Linked DNA regions of Lepisosteus oculatus. The protein of the gene in region 1 interacts with the protein of each later gene in a biochemical or structural test. Links are inferred from orthologs where the notes say so. Each region holds a gene or a part of one and is shown in the gene's direction. Other genes may lie near its edges.

Region 1 (7,466 bases):
AATAATGCCATAAATGACAAATGAAATGCAATTAAAAATTTCAAGACATTTTTTATTGTTACATATTGTTTGTATGTTTTGTTTGAGTAATATGAAAACTAGACTTTTCAACAAGTGGTAAAGGAGCTGGTTTCCTAATTCTCTGAGGGAGATACCTTCACCCCTGTGTCCCCAGATCCAATATGCTCTCAGAGTTCAAATGTTTATCATACAGACAAACACAGCCACGCCAAGCAGATAGTGCAGCAGTTTACACATTAATACCCCTGTCACACTGCTCCAGTTGTTACTTTGGACAGATTCTCTGCATATGCAGTTCTGGTGCAAAATACAGGCCAGTTTTCCATGGCAATGAAGGGGAATGAGTGTTTGGAAAATACAGCAGATTTAAAAAACAGGATGCCCTACATAATCTAATTTAAAAATGTACATATTCACATGGATAGCTAAGAAATAAGACAGTATAATTCACCTCCTCCGTTTTTGTAGCACAGGTAGGGGAACCTCCACATGTTTGCCAGCCCAACAATGGATCCAGCAACAGCCAAGATGAACTCCCACTTGTTTGCCCACTGGCCCCTCTCCTGGATCTTCTGTCCCTTCTGCTTCAGTCTGCTCCCCTGGACTGGGGGCTCACACAGGGCTCCTGTCTGAAGATCCCCGGCCATCCCAACCACAGCCAGAGCAGCTCATACAATGAAGCGAGTGAGCTGTCCGCTGGAGTCTGGGAGGAACACACGCAGAACTCCACTCGCTCCGCCTCTCACCAATTCCCAATCGGAGCCTTTCGCTCCAGGTGAACTGTGACCTACAGAGGCCAGAAACTAAGGCATTTGGTGAAAATCTGTAGGACAGCAGTCATTTGTTCCATGCATGTGTTTTTTTAGTACTTTTATACGAATGTTAGAGATTGCAGTCTCCGACTGAGCCTGGCAACATTCTAGCCAGATTTGAGTCTGTACCCTGCAGAGCTGTGCCAGAGGGCTGGTTCACAGGGTAAGGGCAGTGCACCACAAAGCAGTGACCCTGCTTCGACAGTGCATTCAAAGCCAGGGGTAAAGGAAAAACTGATACAAGTATTGTGAGCTACACTTTAAAAACATCAGGAGCTGAATATCAATACCATTCTAAATATATTAACAGAAGTACTGGCTTGCTATGGAAATATGCAGTGATAAAAAGGAAAACTGAAACCACTGAGGTGCTTCCATTGCCTGTTCTGGTAGCCTCACAGACAACCACGGAGTCGAGACATTTCCCCGATACCGGCTGGTGTCGTCAGTGCACTGAATCCCAGTCATTACCTTCTCCTTGTGCCGTTGGACACTTCAGCAGGATTGGCAGCTGCGCTTGTCTCCGAGGACCGAAACACCCAAACTGCTGTAACTGTGACTCAAGCAAGGCTAGATCACAGCCCAGTTACAAATTTGCCTTTAGAGATAAGAGTGCAAGAATCCCTTTTCACTGCATTCAGGTGACTGGCCCTCTTAACTGACAACCTGAGTCTTGTGCTCACTATGTTGATGACATGGTTCTAGCAGGGACTCAGGAACTGGCGTGATGGAATTGCTTTGCCAGCCGTCGGAATAGTTTTTGGCCTTTTCTGTTTTTGCAAACACTGACTCAGCTCTCAAGAGCATTTCCCAGGACAGGTGAGTAGGCATCTCCCTCCCCCAGGTGGCAATGCAGGCTTGCTGCATTCACTGAGGCATTCCAGAGTTTCTAGGAGCCTAAACAAACAAGTTAATTTCTTTCATGCTATTGGTTTTTTGCACGCTGTACTGAGTTAGAAAAAAACAATCACACAATGTTTTAAAAAAACTGCAAAATATTTATTTCAATTTGTGATTGAGATTCAAAATAATTCAAGATTCAGAAAAGTCATATTCCACTAGACGGCGCACGACTCCACACTCAGTAGGAACGCTGAGATTGCGAAGGAGTATTGGGGACCCCTCCCTGCTGATGGCACCTTGAAGAAGCAGCTCTTCTGAATAACAGGCAGACTATCGGCCGTGCAGAGTGTGCGCGTCTCAGCTTGGCAGGGAGGTCTTTAAGATTTTGATGTCGTCCACCGGTCTGTCCTGCGTGTTGGTCTCCACCATGCCGACGCGGCTGACGACGGAGATGCCCTGGCACACGCGCCCGAAGATGCTGTGCTTCCCATCCAGCCACTGTGTTGGTGCCAGCGTCAGGAAGAACTGGCTCCCGTTGGTGTCCGGCCCGGCGTTTGCCATCGCCAAAATCCCAGCTCCTAAATCCATACAAAATCAAGGAATTTCTGTCGGATTGCCATTATGTCATCTTTTCAGATTCGGTGTTATACTGAGAAAAACAAAGCTTCCTCTGCCCCCAAACAAATGGGAAAGATACCAATATACACTTCCTTTTGAAAAAGTAAAAGCATGTAGTAGCAAGATAAATGTGCTTCTCAACCCACATGTTTATTGGAATTAGACTGATGATAATGCCTTCATGTATATCACAATCAAATTTCAGTTGGTCAATACAAGACAAATAAAATAATTTGACAGAGGAATTAAATTACCTGTGAATTTCAATTCAGGATGCAGTTCATCTTCAAACTGTTTGCCATAAATGGAGGCTCCTCCTCGCCCTGTAATGGGTAATGCACAGTTATCATGAGAAAAGAGCCATGTCAGAGCTACAGCCCCAGGGGTATGCTGCTCAGAGCTATAAACCCTGACAGGATTCTCATTGGGCATTTGATGAGACAACACTATGTTTGTACAATAAGCCTTTAGAATAGTTTATTAAGGTTCAGAATAAATTTTGGGGACTTTAGTATCTTATTTTTATATATAATTTTCCATCTGGCTACTTACTCAAATTTGTTCCATGTTTATGGAAGGTCCTATACTGTAGTTTCACTATTACCTTACATAAAGATGACAATTTTTATTTGTCTTTTTACTTAACAAAAAATTGGTACAGAAATAACTGGTACTACCGCAACTAAACAGTTTTCAAAACAATATTCTTACACAGTATAAACCTATTAGGAAGAGTCTCCTGCTTTACTGGATCTCTGATAACCCTTTACACTGAGAAACAGTAGAGCCGGGAAACTCACCCTCAAAACTCACACTTACTGGAAACTTGCTTCTATTCTGCCTGAGCTTTTCATAACTTTGGTCAATCAATTGCTTTTTTGCATGGTATCACGTGATTTCAAGTGATACCATGCAAGTGATTTCACAGGACACCTTTCTAATGATCACTATCTTGCACTTCTTAAAGTTAACTAAGATAGTTGGCATCTGTAAAACCTCCAGTTATGTTAATCTTTGCAACACAGAGAATACTGAATATGTTTTGTCGCCCTGTTCAACACACTTAAACTCAAGAAACACGTCAGGGGGAACTATGGAGAAATTTAACGAAGTTTATGGCAACTAGTCTCAGAGCCTTAGCTCTTTAGAAGTGGACGTTCCAGCTGGGCTGCGGGTGTCCGTAAAGAGCACTGGTCCAGACCCCACCCAACCTCTCCCAGCGCCTCTCTGTAGACCGTATCGGGGAGTCCGTACACACTCGCCTGTACCAGTCGGGTCTCCGCCCTGGATCATAAAGTCTTTGATGATCCGGTGAAACTTGGTACCGTTGTAGTAGCCCCTCCGAGCCAGCTCAGCGAAGTTCTTACAGGTTTTGGGGGCGTGTTTCCAGTACAGCTCCACCACGATCGTCCCCATTCTGCAGGAAAACAACGTGATACGGACTACAGCAAACCTACACCGCGCCTTTCCGATACCAAAATCGCTCAATCATGCGAGCCTATGCCATTAAGTCTCCCCCAGTATGTTTTTTTTATTAATACTGCAATATTTAATGATAATAAGAAAATATGTATTTTAGCATGGATGGTCATCCAATTTTAATAAGAGACTATAAACTGACAGTTATAGATTATTGGTAGCCCGTTCATATAGCGCAAACAGACAGTGCCACTTTTTAACCAAATCAGGCATGTAGTAGTCCATGATAGAATCCATTTAAATTTCAGCGACAACAGGATTAGAATTATTCTATCTCCTGCAACACCTACGTTGTCTCCAGGCAGACTGTCGGGGGCTGCCACGAATCTGGCGGAATACCTGACATCCTTCTTTCAGGAGAGCGTTGTAGAAGAACACAAGAGTAAAGACAAACTCATTCGAACACAAACTTCCCACACTTCCTGTCTCGGGGGTCCGACTGAAACCCTGTCCGAATGGAAACAACACAAATCGCAGCCAACAAGTTCCGGTAGTTTCTGATACAAGCCGAAAACAGTGTATAAGCCCCAAAAGACAACGTTTTTAATAGATTGTATCGATACTTTGTGTACTGGCAGATATATCGCATTTCTGATTGGCATTTCATTTTAGATTTTCAGCAATACCTCTTGGCAGCTACAGGAGTTGCCAGCCGTTGGGAGTGTGGCGTCACTACTGCCCTCGTCCAATCAGGAAACAGAGTTACAAAATTCAAACGTCAAGAGAAACAAAACGACAGCACGAGCTAGAACGGACTGTTATATTTTAAATTTCTTTACCTTTTAAAAAATAATCTTATTTGAAAACGTGCGCGTTTTTTAAATAGTTTATTACGGCTGCTGGATTACTTATTCGCTTTATCTGATGTTAAAGCAGGTGTAGCTGTGTTGTACATGTCATTGTGGCCGACTTTGTTTATTAATTGTGTGGTGCTGGTGACAGACTGGGCATTAGTAGATGAAGAAGGGTCACAACAGAGGGGAAAATAATCAAATATCAGCACGTAGGTAATAATAATTCCATATTAAATACCCAAATGTTTTCGTTTAAATGAAGTTCATTTCGATCGGATTGTCTTTAGCTTTGGTTATGTGGAAATTAATAAGGTAGTTAATGAAGTTAACCGAATTGTATTGTTTTGTTTTTATAGGTTCACATACCGATTAATTGCTCGGTAGGATGGATCATACAGGTGAAGGTATCATCGTATTAAGTATATTTTATGGAACTGTCTTTTCTAAAGCTTTTCCTTTTACAAACATATTTCACTTTAAACACGAAAATTTCATGAAAGTCTGGATAATTCATACGTTTGACTAAATTACTTAATTTATGACTCGATAACCTATTAAATAAAATACTGATTACATATAAATGCAAACCTTCATATATAGAAGCATTAACGAAACTACGTATAATAATATTGTTCATTATTACAATTATTAATTGTAAGGTGACTTTCTATTGCTTTGAAACTAATCACCCAATCATTTGGGTTTTACATGTTTTTACAAAACATGTAAAACCCAAATGATTAAATTGGTCGTAAAATGGACGATGTTGCTTGTCTTTCAGATGTTTGTTTTATAACGGAAGAGACGTTCGACTTCGGCATAGACTCGCCTTCAGACAGGTACTGGTTGTCCTGGTTTTAAAACTTCACACGTTTCTAAAGAGCACTGCCAGGCTCTTACGGGCAGGCAGTGCTCGCAGACGGCTGCGTGTTTGAGCTCTGGTGACCTGGCTTGACCAGGCGCTTGCTGTACGTGCTGGGATGATGTAGTCTACCTCAGAGTGCACAGAAGTCTGCTCCACCCCAGCTTTTCCAGGCACTAAGGCTGTGGAGAGGGCCAGATACAGTAACTACATATTTAGTAGCATAGCTGCATGTCAGTCTGCACGTGTTGACTGAAAAAGACATGTCCACCATGTTGGCTGTATACAGTATGTACTATATTTCCTTTTTCAGTATGCGAGTATATATCTCCATCTTCTCTGCAGTCTGCTTACTGCACATTAATTACACTCACTTGTGAAGTCTAGTGCTTCTTTGTGCAAACGTGAGGAGGGTGTCTGCACTATTAAGAAGCGGTAGTTATATTTTGGCAGTGCAGTTCGCCGGTCTTGATTGGAGCAGTTGTGCCATGGGACTGTGCTCACGTGCTGTCTGTGTGCCCTTGCAGTCGGGAGCTCTGCGACTCCATCATGGCCGAGGAAGAGGAGGTTTTTGTGGGCCCTGTACGGCACGTTGAGAGATGTGTTGCCAAGAGCATTGACCTCAACGTTCAGGGGGCAAGGGAGAGCCAGAGAGTGGGGGGCTGGGGGAGCAAGGCGGGAGGCGATGGGGGGCTGCTGAACTGGAGCCCGCTGAGTGCGGAGAAACTGGAGGAGATCTCCCGCGAGGCCAACCGCCTGGCCAGCCAGCTGGAGAGAACCGTGCTGAAGGAGAACGCCGGGGACGGGTGCCAGGAGTCGCCCCGCGTGCGGGCGCTGAGAGACAGGCAGGAACCGCGCCGGAGCCCGCGCAGGGAGACCTATATCGTGAAGGACAGCCCAGTGAAGTCCCTCCTTCCCTCCGTCGTGCCCGAGAGTGGGTGTCCATCACCGCGCCCGGATGCTGAAGGGAAGAGCCCGGCTGCGAAGCGGAGGAGTAGGCGGACTCCCGGCAGAGCAGCCAGGACAGCGCCAGCTCAGACTGTGGCCTCCCCAGGGCCTGGGGTCCTGCCACGCTGTGAGGGGGGGTCTCCTGCCATGAGCGTCTCTTCATCCTCCTGCAGCCTGCAGCCCACCAGTCCCAGCGTCCCGTCCCCAACACGGCAGGCAAAGAGGCACAGCACCCGCTCACCCGCATTCATCAGGCTCCCTGCGGGGGACAAACCGCTTCCTCAGTCCGGCACGCCCTCGAGGACGGGCAAAGCGGCAGATAGCAAGACTGCCAGGCAGACGGTGCCCTCGCCCTTGGCCCAGGACAGTAAGAACTCCCTGAGCAAGTCCAGTGTGAGCTGCCCTTCATCTGCCAAACCTTCGCCTGGGAGAAAAACAAAGTCCAGCACGCCCTCCCACTCCCTGCCTCACCGTGGCCACCTGCCGCCAGCTCGCCAGGTATGGTCCTGCACGTGCCCCGGGCTTCCCTGCACACCAGTAACACTCCGACTGCTAAACAGACTGATAATATGATTATCATATCATTGGTAGTTTTGTAATCTTAATATAGAGATATGGAATTAAATTTTGTGTAAGCCATAGCAAAGTGAAAACAACACTTCATAGCACGTTTTAAGCCTTTTTCCCCATTTACTGCAGGAAAGACTGAAACGCTCAGTGGCAGATTCAAAGGGTGTAGGCTCCCCTTCCCAGAAGGCCGTTTTGGTGCCTGGAGTGGCTGTCGGCACAGAGAGAATCACACCCTCAGGTAGTAACATCTAACCCTTTCATTGCTTGCAGTCTTGTGTTTCAAGGACACAGCTGTTTATTGGAGGAAGCACACCACCTTTTCTTTTTTTAAAAATGAAAAAAGTTCCATATGTTACAAACCACAAAGTTTCAAATACTGCAGAACCACTAGGTCTTACTGCACGGGCTCCGCAGCACCAGAGCTGGAGCATGCTGGCATACAGGGACTCTGAGAGCAGCTGATATTTTAGATTTGCAAGGTCAGCCTGTTCTTCACTTTGAATGTTTTGCTAATGTTGC
Region 2 (7,422 bases), about 1.1 Mb from region 1:
TTAAATGCTAAAGCATAACCACTACAAAACGTCAGCTACTGTACAATGTCTCCTTCTAGAATGGTTAGCATTAAGACATTAGCAGGGTTTACCTTATCATCCTTATCAACCTTATCATCCAGGTGGATGCTGCACATTGGTGGTGGTGGAGGGGAGTCCCCATTACCTGTAAAGCACTTTGAGTGTAGTGCCCAGAAAAGCACTATATAAGTGTAAGCAATTATTATTATTATTATTATTTACATGTGTATTTATTATTTTTTAAAAACCTGTAGAAATTTGTGTGATCTGATAGTAACATTGATTGTATCTTCATATTTTGCACCACAGGAAAAAAAAATAGGGAAGCAAAACATTGTGAACTCTGAAACATAATCTGTCTGGATAAAAAATGATTTTTCTTAAAGGTTAAACACATAATAATAATAATAATAATAATAATAATAATAATAATAATAATAATAATAATAATAATAATAATAAACTTTATTTTATATAGCGCCTTTAAAGGTGGCTTCTCAAAGCGCTTTACAGGATGACAATAACAATAAATAAGAAGACTACAACAATAAATAAGAAAATTTCACAAGACAGGACACAATTATAATTACAGCAATACAACAATAACAATAGAGGAGACCGTGGAAGATGGTATTAAGAAGAGCAGAGGGGTGAAGAATGGAACCAGTTAAGTAAAGGCTTTTCTGAAAAGGAGGGTTTTGAGTCTGGATTTGAAGGAGTTTAGAGAAGGTGACTCTCTAATATCCTTGGGCAAGGAGTTCCAGAGCTTGGGGGCATAGCAGGAGAAGGCCCTGTCGCCCATACAATGTAGACGGGCTTGGGGGACAGTAAGGAGGGCAGAATTTGAAGAGCGGAGGTTGCGAGGTGGGGAGTAGGGCGATAAAAGTTCAGACAGGTATTGAGGTGCCAAGCCATGTAAAGCCTTGTAGGTGAGCATGAGGATTTTAAAGTCTACGCGGAATTTGACCGGAAGCCAGTGCAAGGACTCCAGGATAGGAGTAATGTGAACACTTGCACTAGATCTGGTCAGGATTCTGGCTGCTGAATTTTGGACATACTGCAGCTTGTTCAGAGTAGATTTAGATACCCCAGGGAGCAGAGCATTGCAGTAGTCAATTCGAGAGAATACAAATATGTTGATCAGCTTTTCAGCCACAGTTAATGATAGCATAGGGCGTAGTCTTGCGATATTTCTAAGATGAAAAAAAGTTTTGACAGTATGCTGTACATGTGGGTCGAATGTTAAGCCAGAATCGAATATAACCCCAAGGTTTTTCAATTTTGATTGAAGCTCAAGTACAGAGCCATCTACAGACAGGGTTGCAGGACTGGCTTTACGAAGTTGATGGGGGGTACCAATAAGCATGACTTCAGTCTTGTCACAGTTAAGATGAAGGAAGTTTTGAGTCATCCAAATTTTTATGTCAGAGATGCAATTAGATAGAATAGAGACAGCCACATCAGTGTCGGGTTTGGTATGGATGTATATTTGAGTATCGTCAGCGTAAAAATGAAAGCTGAGGCCATGTGATCTTAAAAGCTGACCAAGTGGGAACATGTAAATGCTGAAGAGCAAGGGGCCCAGTATTGAGCCCTGAGGGACACCAGACTTGACAAGACCAATTTCAGACCTGTACCCATTGAGAGAGACAAAGTGACAGCGATCAGTGAGGTAAGACTTAAACCATTTGAGGGCAGTGTCAGAGACTCCAAACACAGTCTCACATGCCATATATCTATTGCTCATAGACCAAATGTACAATTTCCTAACATGGCAGATGCCTGAAGATTTTTCTTTTTTGATTTTGATCTATTGTACATGTGATTTGTGACAACATTCTTACCTGCACTCAGAATCTATCAAGAGGGTTGGTTAAAATCTGGAAAGGTGGAACAATGAAATGCCGTGGCAGTAACTGAACAGATTTTAGTAATTTTCTATATTATTATTATAACATATTAATCATATTAACATATGTGGTTCTTGTCCTGCAGCACAATTACGGGGGAAAGTAATCAGCATACTGTTTACTGAAGGTATTAGGGTTCAGAGGCCTTTGCCCAATCTTTAAAGATCTTTGCCCAAGAACCGTTTCACTTTTTCCTGACTGGTACAGGTGTCTTAGATTAAAATACTAATTTTGTATCGGACTCAACTCCAAGGAAAAGGAATCGCCTCTCAAGTGTCCACCCCTTTTCATTACTTTACTGTAAAAAAGAGTTCAGATGGCCTTTTATTGGTGGCAACATCAACACCATAAATTGTAACAGGCTGGGAAAATTAGTGACGATAACAATACAATTATTGTAGCACATCACATAAGCCTAAATGTTTTCTACAAACTAAGGTTTGTAAAAAAGCCTAAGAGCATTTTGGAGTGTGAATTTCAATTATTCCCATTTAAGAGATTCTTTGTTGGAGATGTTTGTTTTATTGTTGTATTGATTTGTTGGACATACATTAATACATTTCTCCAAGGTGATAATAATGTTTGAATTTAATTTATGGTAACCGAGAGTTGTTTTAAAGTACTGTATGTACAGTATTGACCAGAAATGAAGAGACAATAGTATTACACTGTTCTCCGAAGATGCCTTTTGTAACAGAGTAAACCTCTTTTCAAATCGAAAGAAAACGGCCCTGCGACTTCTTGCATACAGTACCTACACAGTTATTCTGATTAACGTAATCGTGTACTGCAAACGTTGCTAAACGTGCTGAAATTCAAAAGTACATGAAAGCTACTAACATGTCAAGTTTACAGATAATACCAATATAGGTGGATTATCAAACACAAAATTAAATTAAAAAAGATCTTGATAAGATTCGTGACTTGGAAAACAGCGGGTATACAGTATGTGGTAGACGATGCATAATGTAAACAAGTGCAGCTGGTAAAACTGAGCTATAAATACAAAATGGAAAACGCAGAGTTAGAAGAACTTATGAAAAAAAATCGATTGCTTCATCATTTACATTTTCAACGCGGATAAGGAATTAAAGAGGCACACGAAACGTTACAATATACATCATAAGAATTGGGACCGTGAAGTAAAAATGGCTATTCTTGCTGTATACTCAAGCAGTTTAGATTTAAAGATGAATAAAAGACAAAAGTCAATAATATCTTTTTTTTATTTCTGGGTATTTCTACTAATATATGCTTTAAAGTTTTAGACCACTTTTATTAGTAGTGTCCCACCCCCGCCTGGGGTAGGTGAGCTATTGGGTACACATTAACTTGAAGTAAAATTATATAAGTATTTGGTTGCAAATACTAATTGTTTTTTAAGCAAACACTGTATAAAAAGTATAAAATTAGACGAGAAGTGTTATTATTTAAAATACTAAAACCTGTTCAGTTTTCTTTAGCGTTCCGTCGTTCCGGGTTTTACCCAGTCTATGGGAGAGCTTCGACAGGGATCCCGCAGAAGGTGAAAAAGTCTGTTTCGAACTTTGCAGGTTGACAAACTGAAACAAAGTCACTTATTTATCTGAAATGTTTATTTTCAAATATGTCAATTTATCCATTGTATCCTGACCCCAAAACAGAAATTTAAGAAATCGTAAAGTTTTCTGAAACTGAAAAATGTTTGATTTTCAATTATTTTCCTAACCAGAATTAAAATAATTATTAAAATCTTAAATTGAGAATTTTAATTATTGATTATTTAGCATGCATTATTGGTACCCTCAAATAGGTGTACAAAGAAATACAAATGCACTCCGGTCTCCAGTACATCGCATATCACCTCATAATGGCAAGACGGATTACTGTATATCTGCCTAAAGGAAAAAATAAATACATCGTGGAGTGTTGCAAGGAACGAAAACGAATTGATTTTTTTATTGATACTAGTTAAAATGGATTCCAGTGTGAAAATAGGAACGTGTACGAGAATCTACTTGTTAATTCAGCCAACACACAGCGGCGGATCGGTGAAGAAAGTCAATGGAGATACTGGATCCTAAAGTGCTTAAAGAGCGCCAACATTGCTGATAGTCTGTATACTAAGAAAAGTATTAAATATATATTTTAACTATTTACAATATACTACTGCCGTTATATAGCTTAGCATATTATTGTTATACAATACTGCATTATTGATAACATTTAGTTTAGGTTACCAAATAACGACACGTTGTAAAACGTCAGATATTTCCTGATAAGAGAAAATAAAAAAAATCTTGTAATCTTTTAAAAATCGTTAAGTATAACACAAACTCCCAGTGGGGTGTTCGTTTAGGCAGCAATGAAAAGCAAGTTTCCCCTCTGTTCTTTTATCTCTTTTAATGTCCGCAAATGAACTAGACCTATTGTCGCGACGTCGCTGGCGGTCACCTGTTTTTGCAGCAGTTTGTCCAACTAATTTACGGCAGCTCGAAAACTGATGTTTCTTGATGCTGATTGGTTATCATGCGATGGTTCCTTCCCAGTAACCCTTCTGAATTGGGTTGGTTCAGTAAAGTCAATATAAATTGAATCAATTATTCATTTTTATTTTTAAAAAACAATCTATTGTATCAATTGTGTCGAAGAAAACAGCAACCACAACGTTATAGAGCCGGCGTTTTGAAATATGGGCGCCGGTGCTTTATTTCGATTGTTCGAAACACCAGGGGAAAAACTCTAAAATACAGTCCTGTGGAAGGTAAAGTCTAATTCTGCTTCAGTAATCAATTTATCCTTTTTCGTAGCACAATTTCAAGTTTAGTATTTTACACACTTACCAGTTAAATCCGGATTATCGAATGGTGAGGAGATTAAAACAAAACAAAAATAAAACTGCTCAATTTGAACGGAAGTCTGAAAAGGGGAGACCTGGAAGGTAACACTCTATTGTTTGTATAATAATGGTCCTCTTCACTTCAGAACTCTTGTATTGTTATTTTACAAATTTGAAGTTATATAATTGCAGCTCTATGACATCAGGGGCTATCCTTTGAGTGACTCGGATACAATATTGACATTTTATTTGCAAAACAATGTGACAAGTGCAGTAGGAGCACAGGTCTGCATATAGTGTATAGCGCACACAATATTGTAATGCTCTAGGTTTGGGTTTGGCTATTACGCATTTAAACTGAACAACATCCTAACGAAACAGTATTACTATTAGACACGGTGCTCCTAAAAGTTATGTTTAAAGACTAAATCAGGTGTAAGTTTGCGCTTTTTCGATAATTGTATATGCCTCTCTGATATTGGTGGTAGTCCCTTTTGACGAGGCAAAGGTAGAGACAGTGTTTACAGCTTCACCGGCTTTTTAGTTGACTGTTGCATTGAGTACTTAAACACATCAATGGTAAGTATTTTAGCATCAGCTATAGAACTATTTGGAAATAATTGATGTTGAGTTATTGTACTGTATACCATAACTTGGACTTGAAACCATGAACTTTAAAGGAAAAAGTACATACTCTGTAAACAAAGTAATTATACATACTGTAGAACCATTTGTTCTACATTCTAAATTCTTTTGAGTATCTATCTAGAAATCAAGTATTTGTATGTCCCATACTACCACAAATAAAAAGGTGTTAACTGATTAAATTAAAATTTCAGTCAAGAATGCAAATTTATGGACAACTTGTAATGGTTTCTGGCTTATTTCTTAATTGAGAATTGTTTTACTGTGGCAAAATATTCTTAAACAGTAACCATAGCCAGCATAATAATCTCTCCTAAAAGAAAATGCTAGTGGTGTTTCATTAATAATTTATTTGCAAGAATTAAGTGGTAAGTGGACCAGACCCATATTGTTGTAATTCCGCTGATTGCCAATATATAGTACAAAGGTAGCAGACAAAAAACGAAGAAAAAAAAACAAAAACATGTGTAGTTGTTTAATAGGACATTGGGCCACCATGTGTAGCCAGTATGGCCTGTATGTGCTGTGTTGTAGAGTTTTCCAGTGTCTTTCCTATTTTGCCTCCCACTTCAAATTAATGCACAGATACAACAATCCTGGGCTATGCGCTTCCTTCTACTTGTGCCCTTTGCAGTAACTATCTTGCTCGGAGATTTCCATACTGACATCTCTGTAGAGAGTTGCTCCTAAAACATCAGTAAATTGAGCTGCCTTGGTGTCTGAAAATCCTACAAAATGCATCTCAACTTTTAAAGCAAGAGGTCAATTCTTAACCATAATTATAGGCAGCCAAGGTCTGGACAGCCCTTGTGTACCTGGCCTTAAGGATGCTGGGATGTTATTTACACATGTGGAAGCTTTAACTTTCAATTTACTTGGTGTTCAACATATCCCCAGTTGTTGCCATTGTTTGTACCTTATGCTCTGAACTTTAGAGATTTACAACACTTTTGAAAAGTGAGGATAATGTGAGATATCAGACATGTTATTTTTTATTTGAAAGAAGTTATTTTTTATGGAGCATTCTCAGTATGAAGTTGGTAATAAAGGATATATTTTTCCCTTGTCTATGAACTCTTATTGACATTATGCATTGTGGTCTTTTTTTTAGATATGTGTGTCAATTGTCTTGAATGATGATCACCTCTGGAAGATGCATTAGTATGTTTAAAGGGCTAAAAAACTGTGTTGCACATCAAGAGCTTTGAAACAAGGTAATATGATCAAATTTTTAATTACAGAAAAAGTGGTTAAAGACTAAGGTTTGATGTCAGAATTGCACACTGAATACTAGTGTAGTTTGACCTAGGTAGCATGTGATGTGTTGTATACTACATTAATAATATTGTAGACTGCATTTATGGATGTTTTGTCCATAAATGTGAATTATGCACTTAGTAATGATGTTTCTTGTTTTAGACAAAAATCTGAAAGTCCTGATGAATCCCTTGTAACGAGATGTAACAGGATGCTTCATCACCACTGTCGAAGGAACCCTGAACTGCAAGAAGAGCTGCAGATTCAAACTGCAGTTGCAGCAGGAGATGTCCATACGGTGCGCAAAATGCTGGAGCAGGGCTACTCTCCAAATGGCCGTGATGCCAATGGCTGGACCCTGCTTCACTTTTCAGCAGCAAGAGGGAAGGAGAGATGTGTCCGAGTGTTCCTGGAACATGGAGGTGGGAAATGTGGGAAAATTTACCTAATTTTTTAATTTGACTCTGAATAAGTCAGGTGAATAGAGTTGAGAATAGTTTAGGTCATATCAATAGATAATCTTATTTGAAGAGAATCTGAGTTAATGTTAACATCACTAGGTGTTCGTACTGGTATTGTCTGATAGTCTCAGAACAAAATATCTGAAATAGTGTTTGCAACAGTGAATCAAATGTTGCAAAAATAACCATGTGTGAGAGTTTTCCTTACCATTAATCTCAATGCATTTTCCAAGCAGAATTACTCAGTAATCATAAACATTTTTAGGAAGAATATATAGTGAATACTTACAGATATTGATATTAAATGCAG

Evidence for each region.
Region 2: of the proteins of proline/serine-rich coiled-coil protein 1 (region 1) and asb7, one has a biochemical effect on the other in vitro, tested with the Homo sapiens proteins (2 studies listed by BioGRID, with this or other methods). The link is inferred for Lepisosteus oculatus from reciprocal best matches to the Homo sapiens genes PSRC1 and ASB7.

What each region holds. Positions count from the first base shown.
Region 1 is NC_090700.1:40,699,346-40,706,811, reverse strand, and holds the start of proline/serine-rich coiled-coil protein 1, read left to right. Parts: upstream 1-4,465; 5' UTR 4,466-4,730; coding exon 4,731-4,776; exon of another isoform or gene 4,777-4,780; intron 4,781-4,923; exon of another isoform or gene 4,924-4,952; coding exon of another isoform or gene 4,953-4,971; intron 4,972-5,323; coding exon of another isoform or gene 5,324-5,348; coding exon 5,349-5,406; intron 5,407-5,956; coding exon 5,957-6,875; intron 6,876-7,076; coding exon 7,077-7,185; intron 7,186-7,466. Other genes in the region: slc6a11a (solute carrier family 6 member 11a), read right to left, coding at 473-668; ppil1 (peptidyl-prolyl cis-trans isomerase-like 1), read right to left, coding at 2,034-2,254, 2,549-2,617, 3,557-3,711, 4,064-4,119. UniProt on the Homo sapiens protein: Required for normal progression through mitosis. Required for normal congress of chromosomes at the metaphase plate, and for normal rate of chromosomal segregation during anaphase. Plays a role in the regulation of mitotic spindle dynamics.
Region 2 is NC_090700.1:41,751,332-41,758,753, reverse strand, and holds the start of asb7 (ankyrin repeat and SOCS box protein 7), read left to right. Parts: upstream 1-4,421; 5' UTR 4,422-4,674; intron 4,675-4,753; exon of another isoform or gene 4,754-4,851; intron 4,852-5,016; exon of another isoform or gene 5,017-5,328; intron 5,329-6,505; 5' UTR 6,506-6,608; intron 6,609-6,813; 5' UTR 6,814-6,862; coding exon 6,863-7,073; intron 7,074-7,422. UniProt on the Homo sapiens protein: Probable substrate-recognition component of a SCF-like ECS (Elongin-Cullin-SOCS-box protein) E3 ubiquitin-protein ligase complex which mediates the ubiquitination and subsequent proteasomal degradation of target proteins.